Linked DNA regions of Caenorhabditis elegans. The protein of the gene in region 2 purifies or fractionates together with the protein of the main gene of each other region. This does not show direct contact. Each region holds a gene or a part of one and is shown on either strand. Other genes may lie near its edges. The genes, in order: crn-4, nuc-1 and crn-1.

What was found.
Region 1: the proteins of nuc-1 (region 2) and crn-4 purify together in Caenorhabditis elegans (affinity purification with western blotting, with the first as the bait; one study listed by BioGRID). This does not show direct contact.
Region 3: the proteins of nuc-1 (region 2) and crn-1 purify together in Caenorhabditis elegans (affinity purification with western blotting, with the first as the bait; one study listed by BioGRID). This does not show direct contact.

The regions. Positions count from the first base shown.
Region 1 is NC_003284.9:2,255,336-2,260,091, forward strand, and holds crn-4 (3'-5' exonuclease crn-4), read right to left. Parts: upstream 2,767-4,756; 5' UTR 2,740-2,766; coding exon 2,704-2,739; intron 2,653-2,703; coding exon 2,551-2,652; intron 2,503-2,550; coding exon 2,424-2,502; intron 2,366-2,423; coding exon 2,103-2,365; intron 2,046-2,102; coding exon 1,887-2,045; intron 1,013-1,886; coding exon 755-1,012; 3' UTR 513-754; downstream 1-512. Other genes in the region: AH9.3 (uncharacterized protein), read right to left, coding at 4,006-4,089, 4,151-4,330, 4,686-4,756. UniProt on the Caenorhabditis elegans protein: Possesses 3'->5' exoribonuclease activity in digestion of DNA and RNA. Cleaves nucleic acid substrates with efficiencies in the following order: single-stranded RNA (ssRNA) > double-stranded DNA (dsDNA) > single-stranded DNA (ssDNA).
Region 2 is NC_003284.9:9,538,141-9,542,846, reverse strand, and holds nuc-1 (Deoxyribonuclease-2), read right to left. Parts: upstream 2,943-4,706; 5' UTR 2,902-2,942; coding exon 2,798-2,901; intron 2,749-2,797; coding exon 2,607-2,748; intron 2,312-2,606; coding exon 2,234-2,311; intron 2,078-2,233; coding exon 1,606-2,077; intron 1,065-1,605; coding exon 937-1,064; intron 847-936; coding exon 742-846; intron 697-741; coding exon 598-696; 3' UTR 518-597; downstream 1-517. UniProt on the Caenorhabditis elegans protein: Hydrolyzes DNA under acidic conditions with a preference for double-stranded DNA. Implicated in apoptosis.
Region 3 is NC_003279.8:3,479,952-3,485,001, reverse strand, and holds crn-1 (Flap endonuclease 1), read right to left. Parts: upstream 3,006-5,050; 5' UTR 2,973-3,005; coding exon 2,883-2,972; intron 2,539-2,882; coding exon 1,831-2,538; intron 1,040-1,830; coding exon 888-1,039; intron 836-887; coding exon 637-835; 3' UTR 502-636; downstream 1-501. Other genes in the region: Y47G6A.9 (DNA-directed RNA polymerase III subunit), read right to left, coding at 3,653-3,817, 4,308-4,492, 4,774-4,957. UniProt on the Caenorhabditis elegans protein: Structure-specific nuclease with 5'-flap endonuclease and 5'-3' exonuclease activities involved in DNA replication and repair.

The DNA.
Region 1 (4,756 bases), 7.3 Mb from region 2:
TTAATTTAAAAAAAATCCAGAAAAAATTTCAAACTTTCAAATAAAACTGAGTCACAAGCCATTCTTACTTCACAAAGTGCAGACAGTTAGTTTTCAAAAATCAACAGATAAGCTTTTTTTGCAGGGGGTGAATGAGCTAACAAAAAATATATATCTTTGCCGTGGGCTCGCTAAATGACTTGTACAAACACAGAGCGGGTCAGCATGCAAGCAGGAGCAACAGTCGGCAGAAAAAGTTTCAAAATTGTTTTAATTTCTTATCATTCGAGAAAATCAAATAAATCGGATTATCAATAGCAACTGTTAAATAGAAAGGGACAGAAACATCTATTTTTAAAAAAGTTTTGCAAAAATAGAGAATAGATATATTAAAAAAAACCACATTTTCGTCTCATTTTAAAAGTGTAAGAAGATACTGGAATGTGGTGAAAGACAATACGGAGTTGACGACGCTTTTCTGGCAATATTTGGCACGTCTATTTATACACTTTTTTAAATCAGTTTCTGAAGAATTGATAATTAAGAGTTTATATTAATATAAAAATTTGTGATAATTCAAAAGTCAAAAAACGTAATGACATGAGAAAACCCGTGATGGGCAAATACCGTAAAAATCTGAATAAAAACTCGTTTCAGAGTACACGGAGAGCTTGGAAAAAATTCCTTATCACAAGTAACAAGTACAAGGACAAGTAATGAAGAGATGCGATTTGAAAAAAAAAACTTGGTATTAAATTGATGATGTTCACGGATTCTAGTAGTAACCGGCAATTTTGGCAAAGTGGATAGGATCCTCCTCATTTTTGTAGAGATCATGTGGTGTCTGCTGATGACTTGTTCCACACACATCCATTCCTTTGCGGCAATAGCGGCAGACTCCGTACATCTCGAGACGAAAGTCGCCTGCGCGAATTGTAGTCACGACAAGTGGCAGGACTCTTTCGAAAATCTTTCCAGCGTCCATGAAGCTGCTTCTCCATTCTTTGTTGTAGACCAGCGGTTGTCTGCGCCACTGTAAGGAAAATAAAATTATACACCAGTTTCGAAAACAGTGGTTTTGATATTTTTAACGTCAGACTAATTTTTGAAGTGGGAGCACCAAAATCGGAGAATTCGCTTTTTGGACGCAAAATGGCCAAAACTACAGGTTAATACTTTTGAGTGGAGGGAAATTATTTATTTTCACCGAAGAGCTCAAATAAGGACAAATTGACAAAGCCACAACTTGCAGAAGGAATTTTTTATTTGATTATCACTTTTTGTTAAATATTTTCGTAATTTGTTGCAAGTTAATTAGTTGATTTAAATACATTTTCGGTCTATGGGGACACGAATATGATACAGTTTTGTGTTCCCATCAACCGAGCATGAATTTAAATCAACTAACAAACGAGTAATAAATTACGAGAATATATATTGAAGCATGATAATTTGATAAAAATGAGGCTTAAATCTGGCAAAATTTGTGATTTTAGCCTAAAATAAGTATGTTTTTGAAAAAAAATTCTGCACGTCTCGTTACAAAAAGCCTGTTGTTTTAGGCCGTTTTGGGTGAAAAAATAGTGTCAAGTTTCGGTGCTCCGTCTTTAATTCACCTAGGGGTGCAAAATTTACAGAGACTACAATACTAGTTTGTTTTAGTATAAAAATCCTTTGAAAATTATTCATTTTTCTTCATCGGCTCTACACGCATTAATGTGATTTTTCCCTAAAAATTGACGCTTTTACAAATTGATCTACAATGTTCGGTTAGTTTTTCAAAAAGCCAGTGCGGGACTACTAGGTCTTTATCTAATTTTGGATTGGTCAGTGTGGGCACTGGCATAATATTAGTTGAAGATAATAAAAAGGCTGTAAGATGATCTTCAACATTGATCGAAACTTACCGAAGCACAACAGGTCAGCAGCTCGTTCACAGTAACTTTTGCGCCCATGTTAATCATTCGCTGGAGAATAGTAGCAATATTCAGACAGTCATCCATGGCATCATGAGCACGTCCGATGGTTGGCAGATCGTAGTATTCGTTCATCTTGCCGATGTTGGTCTGAAAAGATTATTTATATCATACATTTTTTTAAAAACTATTTGCAATTGAACTCACCGTCGCAGAAAGCTCTTTGGGGCCCATTCGATCCATCTCATTCGTGAAAATCTTGTACAAATTGATGTACTGACGGAAGAAAGCTGGCATTTGGATATTGGACAGTTTCATCTGATACTGAGCAATACGCCACAAATCCTGACGACTGTCACAGACGAAAGCGAACTTTCCTTCTTCCAATCCAAGCGTGATGAGCCACTGCTGGAACTGCTCGTAGACCACATCAAAGGTGTCGGCGGTGTCAATGGAACGTTGCGGGATTCCTGAAAACTTTATTGTATTATGTATATTTATAAAAATAACCAAACTATAAAAACGTACCGGTAAAATCGACACAGTTCTTTGTCAAAGTCCGATTGAGAACAGGTTTGACGTACTTGTTGAAACTAATGTCCTCACGCTGAAAATTAACTATTATTAAATATTTTTAAACGGCAAAATTTCTCACAATTTTATCATTTGGGACATCATAGGCAACGATCGCGAACTGAATGACTTCGCACGGGTAATCTTGATTAGCAGCATCGGATGTTGTCTCAAAGTCGAGAATCTGAAATTGAAATTGATATTTTAGATGCACACAATTTTGAGCTGAACCTACCAATAAAGTATCAAACGGACAGTGTTGGTAAGCCATCCTGTATTGTGTACAGAGAGCGGTGACCTGAAAAATGTAGATTATTGGCAAGAAAAGATACAGAAAGAGTATAAAGAAAAGAGAGATGCAAAATTGAATTTGGCTTAGAATCGCAATCTGGAAAATCAATAATTGCAAACGACGGTCCAAGTGATAGGTGGCCAATGCGGACAGTGTTAACGAGAGAGAACGAGACGCAGAAAGCGAACGGCAAACTTTGAATATATGTTCGGATTACTAAGGCTTAGAAACATAAAGTACTGACGACAATTCTTAAACATTTGAGCTGTTTGTGGAAAACGAGAAGAGAGAAACAAGAAAGTCAACGCAGTAGTTAGATTCAGTATCTATTTAGCACTAATATCAAAAGTTAGAAAAAAAACTTAATCGGAAATTGGAAAACGTTGTTGCGAAAGAGAGCATGCAAGATTATGAAACTAAAAATGGATGCGCAACGACGTCGCAACGCGCGGCATCGAGACACAGGCAGCAAGTGAGCGGAGGTCACACACTTTTTTGGCGGGGGTCAAATCTCATCAAAAAGGCCAAATGACTCATCAACGCTGAAACCGTCCCTCCTCACTGTGTCTCTCTTTCTCTACGTCTCCGCTCTCTCTCAGTATGCTCTCGAACGCATTGTTATTTTGATTTCTATTACGCAATCGCCTCAAGATGGGAACGCCAACTTTTTTGGGGCGGGAAAATATACAGTTGATGAGTCTAGAATTTTATTGACAAACCAGCTAGTAAAGAGTGAAAAGAAAATAAAAAGAAAATAAAAAGTAAAAAAAAAGTAAAGAAAAAGTAAGGACTGACTCTGAAAGTCTTCCAGAGTTTTGCCAAATTCTACAAGTTGAGACGGTTGGGCATGTTCCACCGATACTTTTCATAAAAATTTAATGATACAATATAGAAAAATATTTTCTTTACTTGAAAATAACTTCTAATTAACTTCAAACAACCGAGAAAGTGTTCAAAAATTTTCCGAATGTTGAAAATTGCCGGTGAAAATTGCCGAACAATTGACGGATGATTTCTGAAGATTTTCCTAATTTTTTCTACTAAAATAAATAGCCAAAAGACATAAGATTTTATTGCAAAGTCAAAATTGATAAAGTTCAAAAAATGTTGTAAATACAAAACGGTCATTGGGGTACGTAAACAAAAATCGTTCACGCTTGAAGAAAGAATAATCGGGAACATTTTCAGAAACATTTTTTAAAAAACGTGTTCAAAACAAAATTGAGATCTATCACATGGAATATTTCAAAATGGGGGTCCTAGCATTGCATTGATTTCTGCGGATTGACGGGCACGACGGATTTGCTGGTTGATTTCTGTCAACAGATTCTGAAAAGGCACAAGTTTTTTATTTAGTTTATTACAAATCTCAATTAATGCAAACTCCCACCTGTAGCTGCTCGACAGTGTTGGCCATTGCAATTTTCCCTTTATAACCATCAATATGAGCTGTACTGGCGTTCAACTTTTTTGTGATAACCATTTGCGTGTATTCCGAGATACCTGGTTGGGCGATTCGCTGAGTAAGATTGAGATCGTCAAACTGTTTTTGGTAAGTGTTGATGGCTGCCTGAAAGTTTTCAAAAATGAGAAAAATTACACAGAACGAAACAGAAAGTAGGTCATAAAGTATTCTTTAAAAAACTTCAGAAATTCCGCGTCTACTCTAAAATACTTAAGATTAACTAATTCCGTAATGAGACCTTAGGAAAAGGTAGCAATTTTCACTACGGTTAAAAATTTAAGAAATTGGAAATTTTAGTTGAACTTAAAGAATTTAAACTACGTATTATTACAATTTTTCCAGAATATTTTCTTTTCAATTTGGTTTTTTAGACATTTAATTAATAATTATTATGGTAATACATGACATTTCACTACTCAAAATGTATTAAAATTTTATTTAAACATTTGTGAACACTTACCGCAATTTCTTTTCTCAACTGAATCACAGCAGGATCTTGAGCTCCACTTTCCTCGTCATCACCTTCCTTTT
Region 2 (4,706 bases):
TATATGAAAAGAATAATACGTGTTTGTAAGAAATTGCATAGGTTCAATGAACAGAGTGACCGTCTAATAAACAATCAATAATTTTTTGCACCTTTGGGGGTTTTTTTTTCACCCAACTACCAAATGCTGAATTGGAGTTTGATAAAGTATATATCTCCAAAACGTGTGGTTTTTTTTTGGCCCTTTTCACCTCGTCTTACACATTTTTTACCTACAGAAAAGTGAAATATTCACCAACGCTAAATCAATATCTTGCAGAGCAGTGCACATGCAATAACTGTTCACCAACTTGAAAACCTCAAAATAAATTCAAGTAATAATTACATGAAACTTGATGAAACACTTAATTCGATTTTGTTTTCAGTAATACTGTTTTTTTTTAAATGTGGTTATTAAAAGATAGTTATAATTTTCAGAAATTTCGTTTTCCAGACACACAAAAAAATGAGAGAAAAGTTTCCGTTACAATATAAGAGGTTCTGGCAATATTTGAGATTTATGACTTCTTTTTTTTTTTGGAATTCTGTCACACTAATTTTTTAAGAAGTACATCAATCATATTTATTTGTAGATAATCAAAAGTACATAGATGTAATTTTATGCACAATTATTTTGGGTTGCAATTACACTGTAGGCTTTCCAAAGGAACGAGCTGCTGATACAAGTAGTACCTCCTCCGCGTACATATTGAGATGTCTGTAAAATTTCACTTCGAGTTTTTTAACCATTTGTTTTACTCACCATTCGGTTGATATCTCCGATGCACACCCACGGCTTTGTCATATCAGCTGAGTGAGCCATTTTCGAGTGGTCTTTGGTGTATGAGAACGCGGTTGTACTACCAACCTACAAATCTTCTGTTGACAAACTGATTTCATCGAGTGACACAATTGCCACAAGACGGAAGGTTTCAAAAGGGAAAGTGTTGAAACTCACGTGAATTGACAGAGCATCATTGGCGTGGTAGGTTAGTTTGCAGTCAAGTGGGATCTCACTTCCACGTCTCCATGTTTCAACGACCAAATCTGTTTTCAGTGTTGGAGCCACAAGAGTATCGTATAGATCTGTAAAATAAATTGTAAAAAACGAAAACCATTGATTAAAATGTGGAACTTGAACTTCCTAAACCCCATTGCGCAATAATTCTAACACAAATTTCATCTGTATTTGTGTAGGTTTGAAAATCTCACAATTATATTCATGTAAATATGATGCCGTATTTTTTGTATAGTATGGCTACATTCACACTATTATTTCAAAATTAGTAATGCTAAATGTATTGTTGATTGTAACAAAAACACGGTATTTTTAAAATGTTTGAGAGTTATGAGGTTATTCGAGTAGTGTCGGATATTCAAAAAGTATTTTCAAACACACTTTTTGTATTATTCAAGTCACCAAATCATGCATTTTAATACAATTGTAACGTCACAAAGTGTATTAAAATACATTTCGCTAAATTACTTGAATAACCCCATTAGCAAACAATTAATGCACAATGATCAAAAATAGCTAAAGCATTGAAATTATTTCGAGTTTGCAGAGTTTTGTAACAAAAAAAGTTATTAGAAAAACCTTGCAATACGATATAATTTTGCTACTCACCTGCATTGAATTCCTTCGACTTGGCAAAATTAGTAAACGAATATCCAGCCATAGTCTCCAACTCAATAACGCTTTGGAATGGCTGTCCTTTTTGGTATTGTCCAGCGATTGCTTTAGCCAAATCTGCATTGTCAGCAGCCATGTTCGTTGGAAGATTCGAAGAATATATATTTGGTCGATTGAAGAAAAGTTGAGTTCCAATAGACTTCAATTGAGCGTACTTAAATGTCATGCAAAGCATTGTCTGTCCATAGTCGTGTCCACTGACTGGATACTCGTATTTCGTGGGATTTGGGAACAATGGCACACTGTGCACCAACCAGACTCCAGAAGTTCCATCAAAGAAAATGGTTCCCTTAGTATGTCCGAATGCGGTTGAAGTACTGTCATCTTCATGAGTATAGTTGCTATAAACTCTGTTGCTCAGAATCTCTTCCAATTTAATTCCACTTGTCGACTTTGATCCCCATGGCTGAAAGAAGAAACACTTGCAAATGTCTAATGGTTTCCATCTCTGCTCTCTGTTATCAGTTGTTCGCTCCAGGTCATGGTCAAGTGAGCATTTATCAATGCCAAATCAAACGATTCTGATGTTTCTGCAGCTGTCTGAGTCTCTATTTTCGCTTACCTCATCATTGTACATCACGTGGAAGATGGTCTTGTCATTCTGCTTGTCATAGTATTGTTGGAGTGTGTATGCAATTGCCTGGAAAAATTTCATATATACTCGACCTTGTATGTGTGAAAAAACTGTTAAACAGTTCTATTACAAACATTGCAAATATTAATCGAAATCATAAGGTCTAGATACAGTACTTTGCATGTAAAAAGATATTGAAATGCAATTTGAAAGAAAAAGTTTGGAGACAAAATAACTTCAGCGAAAAGGTTGTAACACTCTACTGCAACACTTCCGCAGCTGTACAAAAATATACTATTCAGTATTTTCTAAAATTTATGAAATTCTACTTCCTGAATTTTGTAATGAAAATTTTTCTTACTTGGTCGTTGTCGTCGAGAGTTTTAGCAGAAGGAGTCAAAGTTCCCTTTTTATTCACATCCACGTAGTACCATGCAACTCCACCTGCCAATCCTGTCACTGATCCATCATCTTTTTCGATTGGCATTTTGTACACTGCGAACCTAAATATCTACTTATTAGTAAATTATTTTTGTTTTGAAAATATATTACCAGTCAACATCGTTTCCCGACTGATCCTTGCAGGAGAATGCTGCATATGTTTGGGAAACTCCTAATAAGAGAAAAATCAGCACAGCGGCAGGAGACAAGCCCATTTTTCCGCTGAAATTTTGAAAGTTTCAGAAGGGAAGTGAGTGAGAAAACTGAAAACGTGCTCTTTTTATCAAGTGCTTTATCATCTCATTTTATCAGTTACTGCAAAATCTTAAATTGACAGTCAACATCAAACATTATCGGAATAACTTTCATTCATAAAAGATGAACAAAAAGTTGCATGACTGTTAAAGAGAATAATATGAAAATTTAGGAAAAGAGACCATCCAATATCAAATAGATTGTATATAATGGTACATATTGTCTCTTACCCTCCCTCACCTGGCAAAACGTCACAGGAACAGATGCTGCCTAATTCTTCTTGTCTCTCTCTCTCTCCAATGATTCCTCATTTTCCAATTTCCCAATTCACACTCCGATTCCTAACCTTTTAGCACCTTTCTAACCAATTTTTTTGCTATGTTTACTAAAATGGCGAACAGATGTTTTCACAGAATGACACGTAGGCATGTGTACTTTTCCTTGACGGAAATTGTGGTCGAGAAGAAAAAAGTGGGCAAACATTCAAGAGAACGAGGGCTGGTTGAGCCATTTGAAACTTGGAATCGTAGCGGTGTTCATATATTTTATCACGTTTCTGTTTGTTTTTTTAAACGAGTATTTATGAATTGAACATTAAGTAACGAACTAACGTATTTTCCAACGTAAAAACTATAAATGCAAGATAACCTTTTTGTTACAGACATAACTATCTCTTAAAATACAATTTTTTCTACATAGAAATTTTTATTAATAGACAAAAGTAAATGTGCTTTTCCGGATTTAAATTCTGCAAGAATCTAAAACAAATTTCATTTTGCTCCGCGAGGATGTGAAAACCATTGTCATTTTTTTTAATAACACAATACAATAGATTAATTGTTACAAAACTTCAAATTTCAAATCACGTTCATCATTTGCCTGGTGGTGATCCCACTGGGCTATATTTGTGGTTTAGCCGGGGACTGTGGCCGATAATCCAGTCGTGGATTGCTTTACTTCCCAATAGAGGCTCAGTGAACCTATTTAAGGTAATACGGTTACAAAACTTAACATTTTATCCAGTTTTTCTTCTTAATAAATATAAAAGATGTTGTAATGTGTATCCTGATTCCAAAAATAAGGTTTTACTATTATTCTTAATTTTTTTAAAATTAAGCGCCTTCACCGTAGAAGTGTAATATTTCCACTCACAAATAATCTGGTCGATTTTCTGAACATGAACAACGTTAAAAAAAATCATTGAATGCGGTTTCCTGAAATGGTTAACAATATGTACATATTTGGCGCTTACCTTTGAGAAATACTTTGGCTTTCCGGCAACATCGTCGTAGTTGCCAGGAAGTGTTTATGTCAGCTTTTCAACCGCAAAATATTGCCAGAAAGTTGTAAGCAAACAAAATTTGACTGAAAGTTGCCTCCAAATTTGGATTTTTAATAGTAAATTCAGTAGTAAATATTTTTTATGAGCTTAAAAGTACAAAAATGTTTCTCACGTCAAAATTTGTACCAGTAAAAACCATGTTGAAAGATTACAAACAAGTTCCCATCAAGTCAAAAATATTTTAACATTTTTTAGCGATTCATAATAATTTTAGAATTCCATTTTATGTCGGAAGCTGTGTAAATCAGCAAAAAAGTACAGCTTGCTTTTTTTAATTTTCAATTTACAATTAAACTCGAGCCTTATTTGAGCCGTCATCTGTTCCTTGTTTTATGCATGAAGAAAACATAATTTTTCATTATTTTTTTCTTCCATCAAAAAAATCAAGCAGTGTATTTTATTAGCTATACTAAAACAAATCTT
Region 3 (5,050 bases), on a different chromosome or scaffold from region 2:
ATATCTCGTAGCGAAAACTACAGTAATTCTTTTAAAGACTACTGTACGGTTTGTGTCGATTTACGCGCTCGATTTTCGGAATGTTTTATAATTTCTTTTTGAATATCGATAGCGATTTATAATTTTCCTCCGTTTCTTGTATTATTTCGTCATTTTTCGCTAAATTTTAATATTCAATCCATAAATAATAATTTTACTAATTCATGCCAAGAATCGAGATCCCGTAAATCGACACAGTGCTACAGTAATCATTTAAAGAATTACTGTAGTTTTCGCTACGAGACATTTTGCGCGTCAGATGTGTTGTGCAATACGCATTCTCAGAATTTAGTGTTCCCGTAATAGTATGCATCAGAGGTAAGCCGCAAAATTTTTTTCCGGCAAATCGTCAAATTCCCGGAATTGAAAAATTCAAATTTCCCAAATTGGTCAGTCTTATAAAAAACCCTGAAAACTTCCAGCAAATGGGTGTTGGGCAAATCGGCAAATTGACGGAATTGAAAATTTCCAAATTTTTTATTGTTTTCTTAGCTTTGTGTGTTCCATTAAAAAAAGGATAAAGGTAAATAAAAACCTTATTTCGTTTCAATCAATATTTCACAAAAATCAAATAAGAAATTGAATAGTTAGTGTGAGCTACTTGGCTCTCTTCTTCGGTGGTCCACCCTTCTTTGCTCCCTTCTTCGCCTTCTCAGCTTCCTCCGCCTTTCGTTTTGTCGCAGCTGTCACACATGTAACCTTGGTCGAGTTTCCGAAGAACGAGTCAATTCGTCCTTGTGTTCCAGATTTACGGCTAGTCTTCAGTTTTGCCAACGCGTTTCGGATGCGCTCCTCACTGGAAATGAAAGAAAAATTAGATGAAGTTCATGAGGTTCATGGGGACAAACTTGAAGTTCTTCTCTCCGCACAAGAACTGAATGACACCTTCGACATCGGCTTCCTTCCATGTCAGTTCAACTTCTTCCGGTTTTGTCACTTCTGGATTGAGGAAAAGCTCACGAGCACGCTTGTATGGCCAATCCTCTGGTGGTGGGTATTTCTGGAATTTTTTTTAGAAATTAGATATATTATAGATCCGCAGAAAAATCCAATTTGAAATCGATGTGTTAACGCGCTCCACTGCTAATTCAAAAGGCTCCGCTTTCGAGCCAAAAGTGTTGTTTAAAAAATTCCGATTTTTCGGTTTTTTTCTAGAAGGAAAGTGAAATTTTTCGATTTTTTTTAAGAGAAAAAAGAAAATTTTCCATTTTTCGGTTTTTTCTAGTAGGAAATTGAAATTTTTCGATTTTTTTAGACAAAACTGAAAATTTCCGCTTTTTTTTGTCAGTTTTTTCACAAAAAACATTGAAAACTTTCGATTTATTTTTTTTCAATTTTTCGAGTTTTTTTCAGAGAAAAAATCGAAAAACGAACAAATTCATAATTTTTTCAATAATAAATCTTTAGGAGAAACAATATAGCTTTTTTTAAAGTTTGATGAGAAAAATAAAATAATTTTTCTCCAATAAATTGAAAAATGACAGGAAAATATTGGAAATTCGATTTTTTTTTTCTCGAAAAATTACGCTTGCACGCATAATGGGCCTCGTTAGCTATTTGGCGGCAAAACCGTAAGTTCAAAATTTGCTAATTTTTTATTGAATTTTTCGGCTTTTTTAGTTGTTTCCATTGATTTTCATGCCAAAATTAATTTAAAAAAAAAGGCAAAACTAAGTGAAAAATTCGAATTTATGATTTCACCGGCAAGTACCTAACGAGACCCATGGTTCGGGGCATTTATTTGCCGTGGAGCGCGTTTATAATAAAATAGGCATTTTACGAACGACGAACATTTTGATCGATATTCTCAAGAATCGTCTCAATATTCTTGTGCTGTCTGATCAGCTCAACAGCCTTCTTAGGCCCGACGCCTCGAATAGTTCCACAATAGTCACAGCCGAGAAGAATACACAAATCAATAAATTCCTCAACGCTTAGCTTCATTTCTTCGAGAGCCAAAGAAAGATTGAACTCCTTGATCGGGATTTTCTTGGCGACTGGAGCCAGGAAATGTCTGAGAAGAACCGTGGAGCCGAAGGTCAGCGCGTCCATATCCTCAGTGACAGTTCCGAATACTTTTCCAGCTTTCACGAGATGAGCACACTGAGCTTCTGCCTCGCATGGAGCCTCGACAACTGGAATTCCCATTAATCCCAGCAAACGCTTCGCCTCGTCGTTCTGTTGTTTTGTGACTTTTACGAGTCTTCTCTCGAACTTCTCCGCTTCCTTAACATCTCCCTTCTCCTTGGCCTCAGTCAGCGCTTTTTCTGCTTCAGCACGACGCTCGGAACGTTTTTCAAGCTCTCCACCCTTCATATCCGGTGGTTTTCCGTCGAAAACGTAGACAGGCTTCACTCCGTTCTCGAACATTCGAACCGTACGATTCAGCATTCCCATCAAGTGACTTGTGGTTTCTCCATCTTCACTTTGAAGCTGGGAACCATCTTGACGAACAGCAATGAGGAATTGGTAGAGGCACATTGATGCGTCGATTGCTACCTGAAAAAAAAACATTTTTTTTTGTTTTTTTGCTTGTAAAGACTCAAAACTCGTCGAAATTTAAGACATTTACCCGGAAATTTCTTCAAAATGTTCAAAATTATGTAAAAATGAGCCAATTTTAGAGCTGAAAATCTTCAAATTTTTCTGATTTATCGCGTCGAACCGATAAATCATTAATCAACAAAATAGCAGGAGATAAACGACTAAAATATTTTAAAATATGAAAATCAGACTGCGGCGCACAGAAAAGTAGACGAAATTGGAGATTTTCGCTTTAAAAAATTATTTTTTCGAATTTTTGAACCTTCAATTTTGCAAATCTAAGGAAAAAATTCCCGTACTGTTCTTCCGAAGAACGCCTTCATCTCGTTGACTTTAATCGCGGAGGGAGCATTATCAGCAATCACTTGGGAGAGTCCTTTAATTCCCATAGCGGTGTGGGGTTAGTCCTTGTGAATTTATATCTGAAATATTCTGAAATTGGGAAGTTTGTGGATTTTTGAGTGGAAAACGGGGGTAGGAAACGAATTACAGCGAATTTCGAAAAAAAAACACGATTTTCCTTTTTGTTCTCCAATTAAATAGGGTTTTTTAGGTTTTACCGAACGATATCAGTCAAATTCATGAAATTTCACCGAATTTATACGGATTTCGCCGCACTTTCCTGACGTAAAAAACGAAAAACCCCCGATATTCTCCAAGATTTCGAGAAAATAAGATGAGTATGAGATTGCGAAACGATAAATTAACAATTCTAATATATTTTTCGTTTAAAATTGATTAAAAACAATAAAATATTTGCTTAAAATTGTGTTTCTCACTATAAAAAACCCCAAGAAAGGATAAAAAATATCGGAGCTGCGTTCAATTTGGCGGGAAAACGGTGCGTTCAATTAGTTGTCCATGGAGCGCGATTGCGTAATCATTATTTGGACACTTTTTTCCTTGAAAAAACCGATTTTCTGAACCAATTGGTTAAATCTGAAGCTAATAACGAATAAAAGGGTTAAATTTAAGGGAAAATCAATAAATAAATTCATATATTTAACAATGATATTCAAAAATTGAGAGAAAAACAACAAAAACAACAAAAAAAGTGTCCGGAGATTCTTTAAATATCATCGGCATCCAAATTATCATCGCTACCGCCGTCCCCATATCCTTCTCCATTATCAAAGTAAGCCGAGATGTAATCGTTATCCTCCTCCTGATTGTCATCATCTGATAATGGATTCTCCTCCTCTTCTGCCGCGGATTTTTCACTGCCAGAGTCTTTCTGAAATTAAGATATGATTTTTTTCCAATTATTTTCATTAAAATGTAGTGATTTATCTGAAAATAGCTCCTATTTTAGTTGAAACAATTGAAAAACCACTCAAAAATCGTCTGAAAATTAGAAATTTCCAACTTTCGAACATTTTTTGAGCAGTTTTCCAAATGTTTCAACTAAAATTAAATTTTATTTTCAGAAATAAAGGGACGAGAAAACTCTAGATTCATCAAAAGATATGCCAATTTTGATGAGAAAATATTTTTTTTTTGCAATTCATGAGGAATAACCCGAAATTATTGAAAATTTGATTATTTTTCTCGAAAAAACGAAAAATTTCGATTTTTAGTTTTCTCGTCATTTTCCGTGCATTTCTTCTACTTATTTACTTCGATTTTTCTGAAAATTATTTTTCGATTTTTTCTGAAAAAAAAGTGCTAAAAAATGCCCTGTCCCATATAAAATGTCAAAAATCTGAAATTAAAATATCTATTACATCATTATCAGCCTTCTCATCGTCATCATCATCATCCTTATTCTGTGCTTCTTTTTCTTCCAATTTTTTCAACTTCTCCTTGATCATCGAATCGTCATTGGCGACTTTTCGTCGTTTTGCCAAAGATTCCTTGGATTTCGAGCTAGCTCGGCGCCAAATGAGCTCATTCGGCATATGGGACATATCTAAAATGGATTTTATGAATTTGAAAAGGTTAAAAAATCGCCTTAAATTCAGAAAAAGCGCTACAGAAAATAGAAAAATTCAATCTTTTTTTGGCTAATTTCCTCGAACTCTCCGACCAATCAGCATCTTCCAACTCCGCCCATTCCATCTGATTGGTTGAAAAATGGGCGGAGCAAATCGCTGATTGGCCGCTCTTCTCATTTAGCCAAAAAGTTGAATTTTCAAATTTTTTTTTTGTTTTTTCTGAAATTGAGACACAATTTCACCTAGATTTCCGTACCAATGCTAAGCTTTTCCCTCTTAATATTCGAATATTTATCCAAATAACGCTTAATTTCGTCGTCTTTCTCTGCTTCAATAAAGAACTGTGAATCACGCATTCGTTGATCAAGTTCAACTTTTAAACGGGATACGTAGAGCATGTCAGTCGTCATTTCAAGTGGAACGGGGTCATGTTGCACTTTCTGAAAAATACAAATTTCATTAAAATACTGATTTTCAAAGATTTCAAGTAAATTTAGGACTAGTTCAGTTGAAGAATTGGCTTCTTTTTTTTT